2 linked regions of the Macaca mulatta genome follow. The protein of the gene in region 1 interacts with the protein of each later gene in a pairwise test. Links are inferred from orthologs where the notes say so. Each region holds a gene or a part of one and is shown on either strand. Other genes may lie near its edges.

Region 1 (4,358 bases):
ACCCCATGCAGCCCAGGTTCGAGGCCCCACTGACCATTGTCCTTTGCAGTCTCTGTCTCGGCCGCCTCCTCTAATCCTGTTGTTTTTAGTTTCACCTCTGGGCAGTATTCGCCATCCTGGTCATTGGAAGGTGCAGCTGAGGTGATGTTTTCTTCTATTATTTTCCTTTCAGCTTCTCGCTCCAATTCTTCTATCTCCTGCAGGCGTTTCTCCAATAACTCAGCCTGCCTCTTCTGTTTCTTTTTCAGTTTTTTCTTTTTGTTTTTAGATATTTTTCCTATCTATAACATGTTAAGAAAAGACCACAGGTCAGTTTTCTTCTTTTTAAAGTACCACATGATAGTATAACTGCTAGCAGCATGGCAAATACCAATAAATTCTGCTTTCTCATGCCATATTCTACTAAAATCCCAAACCCAGACAGATCTACTTTGTGGTAAGGCTTACAGTAAAATCAAAGGGAAAGCAGTGCTGACTGATCTCACGTGCTGGGTCTACCACCAGGTCCTACCCTCAAAGGGATAGAGCTTAAATCCAGTAAGTCTTCACCATTCAAACCCTAAGAGAACTGAAGTTTGAAATTCTCTTGGCCTTAAAGGAGAAGCTCCTCTTGCAAGTTTTATTTGCTGCTGTCTATATACAAAGTAACAACATCCCACCTCCTCAATGCCAAAAATGAAGCAGGTGCCTGAGCAGGTGTATGTCACTGTGTGTCTGGGGCTCACATATGAAGCTCTTAGCAGCCAAGACAACATGAATTCTAAGAGATAAGCCTATTCAGCAAAGGGAAAAAAGAAAAAGCCACAGCTTTTGTCTGCCTCCCATCATGGCCACCCGACTTGCCAAGCACTGGCAATGAAAGACTCCAACCTTTCAAACAATCAGTGAACTCAGGCAGCTCAAGCCAGGGAAAAACTATGGGAAACAATCCGGGCGTCTCAGCAGGCCAGGAAGCGTAATTATTACAGCTTCCTCTTGTTCCAGAACTTACATTCCAAATCAAGGGCTGTCTCAGTAAACATAGTGTTTTGCTGTTGTTTTGTTTTTGGTTTATTTTTTCTTTGAGACTGAGTCTCGTTCTGTTGCCCAGGCTGGAGTGCAGTGGTGTGATCTCAGCTCACTGCAACCTCCACTTCCCGAGTTCAAGTGATTCTCATGTCTCACCCCCTCAGGTAGCTAGGAGTACAGGTGCACGCCATCACACCCAGCTGATGATGATGATGATATTATTATTATTGACACGGAGTCTCGCTCTGTCGCCCAGACTGGAGTGCAGTGGCATGGATCTCGGCTCACTGCAACCTCCACCTCCTGGGCTCAAGCGATTCTTCTGCCTCAGCCTCCTCAGTAGCTAGGATTACTGGTGTCCACCAGCACACTCGGCTAGTCTTTGCATTTTTGGTAGAGATGGGGTTTCACCATGTAGGCCAGGCTGGTCTCGAATTCCTGACCTCAAGTGATTCAGTGGCCTCGGCCTCCCAAAGTGCTGGGATTACAGGCATGAGCCACCACACCCAGTATCTAACAAGGACATACAGTTTTGACGGGACCACAAAATAGATCAGTCTCTTTCTTATTTAATATCTGGATGGAAAAAAATTAGAACAACAGCTTCAGAAAAACAGGTAACTTAGCAGCCAATCAGAAATAATGTAAAGTGATTTTGAAATAAAAATACTTCAACTGCATCACCTCACATTTCACTGAACTTGGCCAACGACAGTCCAGAAAATGCATAAAGAAGACAATCTTTGAAAGGCTCTAACTATCCCAACTCTGCAAAGATACGAAAAATTAACAAGACAGGCTGGATGTGGTAGCTCACGCCTGTAATCCCAGAACTTTGGGAGGCCGAGGTGGGCAGATCACTTGAAGTCAGGAGTTCGAGAACAGTCTGGCCAACACGGTGAAACCCCATCTCTACTAAAAATACAAAAATTAGCTGGGTGTGGTGGCGGGTGACTGTAATCGCAGCTACTTGGGAGGCTGAGGCACAAGAATTGTTTGAACCCGGGAGGGGGAGGTTGCAGTGAGCCAAGATGGCACCACTGCACTCCAGCCTGAGTGGCAGAGCAAAACTCAGTATCAAAAAAAAAAAAAAAAACAAAAAAAAATTAACAAGACAGTAAGTCTTACCTATTTGAGGATACACAACTTTTATAAATGTGTTCACCCTTTAAATACACAACTTTTTAATAATTTGAACAACTCAATAATAAATGGTCTCTTTTGACATGGTGCATATAAAGTAGTATGTGTAAGTACTTACAGGTTTCTGCTGTGGAGCCGTACTCACTAAAACAAAATGAAACAAAATCGACATTTAGCAGAAAACAGACACATACCTTCACGTAGGTCATTCGAATTGCAAAGTGAAATAATTATTGTCTTTTAATGGCTATCCAACTTCAAAAACTATTAATCAGAGCTTCTTAATCACAGGAATCTAGAGAAAGTTTATGCACTGAAACAAATGAGTGACTCTTGAAGGCATAGCAGAAGTTGCTCACACTGAGCCATTTCTCTTATTTATCTAAAATGAAATACTAATACATCTCAAAAACAGTCAAGCCCAAAGCACCAACAGATAAGAAAATGGGAAAGAATTCATACATATCACAGTCATTAAACCAAATTTGTTTAAAATATAATGAAATGAACAATTTAGATTAGATGTACATCTATATTTGAAATCTATTTTGCAAGCTTTCTACAATTTAAATCAAATATTGCAGTTGGTATGCAGCAAACAGTCTGGGAATCACATGATTAAACCCCTACACCAGGGCCAAAAGTTTGACAGGCTGGGTCCATGATCTAAACAACACCCTGATGGCAGTAAAGGAGATGTGAAGAGAGCCCCAGGCAGTCCCAGGAGCCTCAGCCCTTTAGTATACATGCTTGCATGACAACACACAAAGGCACAGACCACGGTGTCGAAGAGTGAGAAACACAGTCCACACTTCACTGCACCACCACCCCGACCCCAGCCCAGAAGTAAAAATATCCCAATACTCAGGTCACTTGGTCTTCTTCCCCCACCATCAGGCCTTTTCTAAACTAACTCCAAATCTGTTGATAAAACTCAGATTGACATAGCTATGCTAAATGGACAACAGGAATTACTGTAACAAAACTGAAGCTAGAAAAATATTCTGATGACTAAAGGTCAGCTACAGGAAAGCTGTTACTATGTTCTCCTCTGCAGAGAAGTGGGCAACAGAAAAAAATGTTCAAATATAGATGAAGCAGCAACTACAAATTTAAATGGCCTTTTAAAGGGGGACAAAAGTAAATAATTTTAACATTAAAATATAATGTAGCTGGGGTATTTTCCATTTCAAGAAAAGGGTGCAGTTATTTCCAGCAATTAAACTTTTCCAAAAAGTTCCTTATATGTAACATTTGATTCAGATACCTTCAACAACTGCAACTTTGCAAGCTCACAACGCCCCCAAACTGAAATGAAGCTAGCTCAGCTCCCTCACCTGCAGACCCTGAAGGAGGAGGAGCACCTGCTTTCTGCCACTCAGTGGCCTCAGCTGCCATTCTTCTCACATAGGCATCATCCACACACATCAAGATGTTTTCTGGCTTTATGTCAGTATGAATGATCTTGCACTTACTGTGTAGATAATCTAACCCTTGAAGGACCTGGATATAGTAAAATCAAGAGAGAAGATAAGCTATTAATACTTCATTATATAACTTTTATTTATTTGAAAAACATGTAATACGATGACAAGGTACAAAGTTTGATAAACACAAAAGGATATTTAGTAAAAATCTCCCTCCCATGACTACCTGCATAGGAATCCAGCTCTCCTTTCTATAAGCAACAAATATGTATAATTTCAGAGATTATTTATGCTCATGGAAGCAAATGCATCTACATACAGTTGAACCTTGAACAACATGGGTTCACTTATACCCATATTTTTTCTGCCACCTGAGACAGCAAGACCAACCCCTCAGCCTACTCAACGCGAAGATGATGAGGATGAAGACCTTTATGATGATCTACTGAATATGATCTATCTACTTAATGAATAGTAAGTATATTTTATCTTCCTTATGATTGTCTTAACATTTTCTTTTCTCTAGCTTACTTTATTGTAAGAATATGCTATATAACACGTTAATCAACTGGTCATGTCATCAGTAAGGATTTTGATCAACAGTATGCCAGTAGTCAAGTCAGAAGCCAGATCCGGATTTTCAACTCCATTGGAGGGGGTTGGTCAGTACCTCTAACCCTTGTGCTGTTCAAGCGTCAACTATACATACTTCAATAACAACTATATTCACGTATCATACAATTGACCCCTTTAGGTATAGAATTCAATGGGTTTTAGATG
Region 2 (4,996 bases), on another chromosome or scaffold:
TAAAGAACTATAGAAAAATATGGCAAGATACCTATATATGGGTAAACAGACTATAGAGAGAAACATCTGGAAAATATGCAGCAAAGTGACAAGAGTAGTTACCTCTAGGGAGTAGGTAGGATGTGCAGAACTTTCATTTTTTACTATATAAACTTTTGTATTATTTGGATTTTTAAATAATCAGCATTACTTAAAAAGAAACTCAAACTTACCTATTAAATACTGCTTGACTAAGAATTTGAAAAGCTGGAACTTGAATTTGGTCCTTGTAATTTCAAACACTATGTTGTTTTATAATATTGGCTTTACCTAAATTTGTAACACATACCTGCACTGATATTCTACAAGGAGAACTCTACAATCTCTAGATGCCCTCTGGATACTCTCCTACAGCCATAGTAGATGCTTAATAAACACTTGCTGAATGATAGATGGATAGATGAGTGGACAGATGGAAAATGTAGATGTGCTTCTTGGAAAAGGGGGTTCTCAGCAGGGTTCTAGATGCAGTTTGGAAGGTAGAAGAAAAGAAGTGGCTAGAAAATAAAAGGTCCAAGTTCATAGAGAGAGGAAGAAGAAAGAAATTAATTGACTGGAAAGATGCTCATAAAGAGGAAAAATGATATCAGAAGCAATTTTAATCTGATCAAGTCATGGGAGCTACAGGAAGGTCTGCACAGAATTTACTCAACACATACACTTTAATTTAAATTGAGAGATGTGTTCCATGTAACAGAAATCCATAATTGCTAGGGTAAATGAAATAAATAGAAGCTAGAGACAAAGAGGCAAGGGAATTTGCAGCTTTGATACATATGGGGGTAATACGAAACTGAAAACAGCAGAACCTTGCTACAGATTGATTGTCAGAAGATTAACAAAAAGTCAGTAAGAGGGTATGATTTTGTGTGTGGGAAATCAGACAAGCTGGAGATAATTCCTGCAGGGAGGGCTAGAATGGGGAAGCAGCTGACTCAGTCCCAAGTGCTCAGATCTATATCCACAAGGGTGGCCACTGCCACCATTCAGAAGATTACAGAGAAGGAAATGGTAAAGTCTGATTTCACTGGATTCTCTCATACAGTCTGCCACTTACTAAGCATATCTCATATCTTTCTACTGCAACTATGAACCCAAATCAGCAAGGGTGGCAGTGGTGATTTGTGGCAATAGCGACCATGTATTAAGCATAATGCATGCCAGGTGCTTTTCAGAAATTGTTTGTATTTGATGCTCACAATGACTTTCTGAGGTATATACTGGTTATGGACTAAATTGTATTCCCTCACATATGTTGAGGTCCTAACCCTCAATATGATTATAGTTGAAGATAGGGTCTTGAGGGAGGTACTAAAAGTTAAATGAGGTTATAAGGTAGGGCTCTATCTGGTAGGAATGGTATCTGTCCTTATAAGAAGATGAGAGAGCTTCCTCTCTCTCTGTATGCACACAAAGAAAGGCCATGTGAGGATACAGCAAGAAGATGGCCATCTATAAGCCAGGAAGAGGCCTCACCAGAAACCAAACCTGATAGCATCTTGATCTTGGACTACTAGCCTTCAGAAATGTGAGAAAATAAATTTCTGTTAAAGACAACCAGTCTGTGGTATTCTCTTAAGGCAGCGCAAGTAGACTAAACCAAAGCTATTATCAACCCCATTTTGTAGAAGAGGGATCTGAGGTCAAGTGGTTAAGTAATCTGCCCAATACAAGCAGCTTCCATGAGGCGATGCCAGGATCTGAACCTGTCTGTCAAACCTTGAAGTCCATTCTCTGAAGCTGTGCTCCACAGCGATCCCTGAAAGCCTTCCTCATGTATCATGCATCAGAAGTCCAGAGAGCTTCCAGGATGGTACTCAGAGAGAAGTCTGCACACAGGGAGAAGGGTCAAAGATGAGCACACTAGGGTCTAAGAAGCACTGAACATTGCTGCTATCTGGTAAGGAGTCTTTGGATCTCCTGTTTTCCCAGCTCTGGGTTTATTGTTTGTTTTTGCTTGACCAGGTGAGATTCGTTCAACATCAAATAAATGCTGTCCCTCACCTGTCTCTCCAATAGAATGGCACTTCAGAGCAGAGTCACGTGTGGGCTGGGACTGAAGGCTCAGTGGTGTCTGCTCTGCTAGAGGCACCATCTCTTTAGAGAGGACTTCTTGTCTGTGTCTGTGGGTTACCATCTGGAGACAAAAAGACAAGATTTGACTTTTGAAGAAATTAACTATCTGAAATAAACACTTCCAAAAAAGAAGGAAACAGGAAGGAGAGTATTTTGTCACCAATGTCAAGGAGACACAAAGCAGAGGATACAAGGATTCTTGGCATGCCAAAATACACTTTTTTCTCTAGCAAATCTCCCTTCTACCTCATGTTGTGGTTCATCGAGCTCTCTCTCCAGATCCTCCAGCAAAATTACAGCCTCTTCTCCACTCTCTGGACAGTGTTCCCTCACCCAGCCCTGGAGCTCCTTGGGCAGGATGGACAGAAACTGCTCCAGCACCAGCAGATCCAAAATCTGCTCCTTTGTGCTCACATGTGGCCTCAACCACTGGTAGCAAAGTTCCTGGAGTCGGGTAAGAGCCTCCCTTGGTCCAGGGGTCTCTTGGTAGCACAGCTGTCGAAAGTGCCTTCGGAAGATTTCCCTTGCCAGTGGATTATTGCGTTTCAGTCTGGATTCCTGCCTTTGGAGGTGACTTTTTGCTTCCACTTTCATTGTCAGAAGTTCTTCCCATGCCTGGGGAACTTGAACACCCAGGGATAAAATCTCCTTTGAGTTTGTATTCATCTTGACCTTGAACAGCTTAAAAGGTACCCTCCAACTGCAGCTATGCTTCAAGACAAACCTTGGAGGCGCCTGCCTAAGCAGTAAAAATAAATTATTTATATGGAAAAATGACAATAACTGATGACAGAAACTGATAATATAAGCATTTATCATAGGCCCTAAAGCTCTCCTCTGAAAAGTGATTTGGGATGGAAATAATGGAAATATATATATATTCATAATGTGCAAAGAGTATAGGCTTTTAAGTTACCCAGATATGGGTTTTCTTTCTTTCTTTCTTTTTTAAAAATGGGGAATTTCACTCTGTTTCCCAGGCTGGAGTGCAGTGGCATAATCACAGCTCACTGCAACCTCAAACTCCTGGGTTTAAGCGATCCTCCCACCTTGGCTTCCCAAAGTGCTGGGATTACAGGTGTCAGCCACCACACCTGACCCAGACCTAGGTTTTATTCTGATCCTAACATTTACTAATTGTGTGACCTTGTGCCAAGTTTTTAAATCTTCTTTCAGTCTTTGTTTCTTTATGTGAAAAAGAAATAGCAATAATACTTTACAGAGTTCGTGGAGGAAAACAGCCCATGAATTAGGGACTGCACAGATCACTCAGAAAGTCTGAATAAAAAGTTTGAGCTCACTGTATAAACATCAAATTAGAGAAAGAATAAATGGAAATACTATTACTGTCGACTAAATGAATGAACCAACATTTACTTTACTGTTTACTTCAGTTTTCTTAAATTAATCTTCAAAACAACCATTTAAAGTTGGTATTATTTACACTAAATTTACAGAAAGAAAGGCTTGGGTGGATTCCAAGCCCTGGAGCTTTCCACACCGCCCTGCTGCTACTTAAGAGTAACAGTCAACATTGCACAAGTCTACAATATGCTTTCAGATACAAGACCATATTTCATCCTCACAATTACCCACTGAGGTTTTATTGTAATAATTATTTCATTAGATAAGAAATGGAAGCCAGGGAAAGTTAAGTAGATTGCCCAAGGTCAACTTCTTTGTGAGGACAATCCTAAGAAGCCTAAGAAGCCAAAGAAGCCCAAGGGAGAAGTTTTCTCCAGAGACCCGGGCAGCGCCTGAAACCCCGGGGGTGTTCCCAAAATGTGGGTCTCCAAAATGTCAGAAAGCACAGCTCAGCAGCTTAACTGCAGCTTGACAGGCTCTGTGGCAGACATCTGGGGAATCTGAATTGGGAGGTGGAGAGAAGTACAGGGAGCCCCAGAATATGCACCTTTAACGGGCTCCTCAGTGATTTGTATGTATTATAAGGTTTGAGAATCAAAGAACTAAGGAAATCGGGAACTGTCACATTCTGCACTTTGAAACCAGTCCATTCAACGCCCGTTAATTTGCTTTTAGAATCTAGAGGTGAGAGGGTATACGGACTCTCCATCTTGAAGGCTGCCAAAGTCTTAACTGTCCTTAACTTCCTCTCCCGGGGGTTTCTTTCCCTGAGTCCTAAGCCTGTTGTCGTTATTCACCGAGGTGACCCTTTCGCCTCGCAGTCCTCCTACAACCCTTTCTTGTACAATGTCCCCACAGCTGGGGATGACCACCCTGGTCTAGGGGACGCCTGAAGCCGGCCGGCACTGACCGCCGCCCCCTCCTCCGTCTCCCACTTCCCAGAGGCTGAGGTTCACTTTCCACACCCCTTTCCCAGCCCCACCCTCCCCAACACTCCTCCATTCCCGGCCCCCACAGCCAACTCACGAGACCCGGAACGCGCGAGGACGGAGAGGGGGTTACCGGCCCGGGGTTGCTAGGCGCGCTGCACGAACAATGGTCGGGCGGGGAAGATGCCCACCCCTCCTCGAAGGCGGACTAGCAGAGGCACTTCCGGGCCGGTCTAGGATTCCGTGTCTCGTTGTCCGGCGTCCACCTTGCCTCGGGCTCAACCCCTAATTTCCTGGCGTCCAGTTCTTTTTCAGCAGTGAATCACATAAACAGAATGTCATACGTGTATGGGCCGCACACAGGTTTTAAACGGAAAACGTTGATGAAGCATAGACCGTTAACTATTGAAAATGCTGATTTTAAAAGCATTTTTAAAATTAATACATTATTTATGGTTTAAAAAACCCTCAGACAATACCAAAATCAATAAAGTAAAATGTCAAACCCCACCTACCCCTCCTTAGTCCCATTCCCTGAGGCAGCCACTTGCCACCGTTAGCCTGGAATTTGTATATCATTGTGATCC

The links.
Region 2: the proteins of SRPK2 (region 1) and ZSCAN9 interact in binary tests that used the Homo sapiens proteins (3 or more experiments, as listed by UniProt). The two-hybrid records come from large-scale screens. The link is inferred for Macaca mulatta from reciprocal best matches to the Homo sapiens genes SRPK2 and ZSCAN9.

What each region holds. Positions count from the first base shown.
Region 1 is NC_133408.1:144,728,800-144,733,157, forward strand, and holds part of SRPK2 (SRSF protein kinase 2), read right to left. Parts: intron 3,655-4,358; coding exon 3,489-3,654; intron 2,296-3,488; coding exon 2,270-2,295; intron 282-2,269; coding exon 35-281; intron 1-34. UniProt on the Homo sapiens protein: Serine/arginine-rich protein-specific kinase which specifically phosphorylates its substrates at serine residues located in regions rich in arginine/serine dipeptides, known as RS domains and is involved in the phosphorylation of SR splicing factors and the regulation of splicing.
Region 2 is NC_133409.1:155,135,706-155,140,701, forward strand, and holds the start of ZSCAN9 (zinc finger and SCAN domain-containing protein 9), read right to left. Parts: upstream 3,134-4,996; 5' UTR 3,001-3,133; coding exon 2,362-3,000; intron 2,177-2,361; coding exon 2,044-2,176; intron 1-2,043. UniProt on the Homo sapiens protein: May be involved in transcriptional regulation.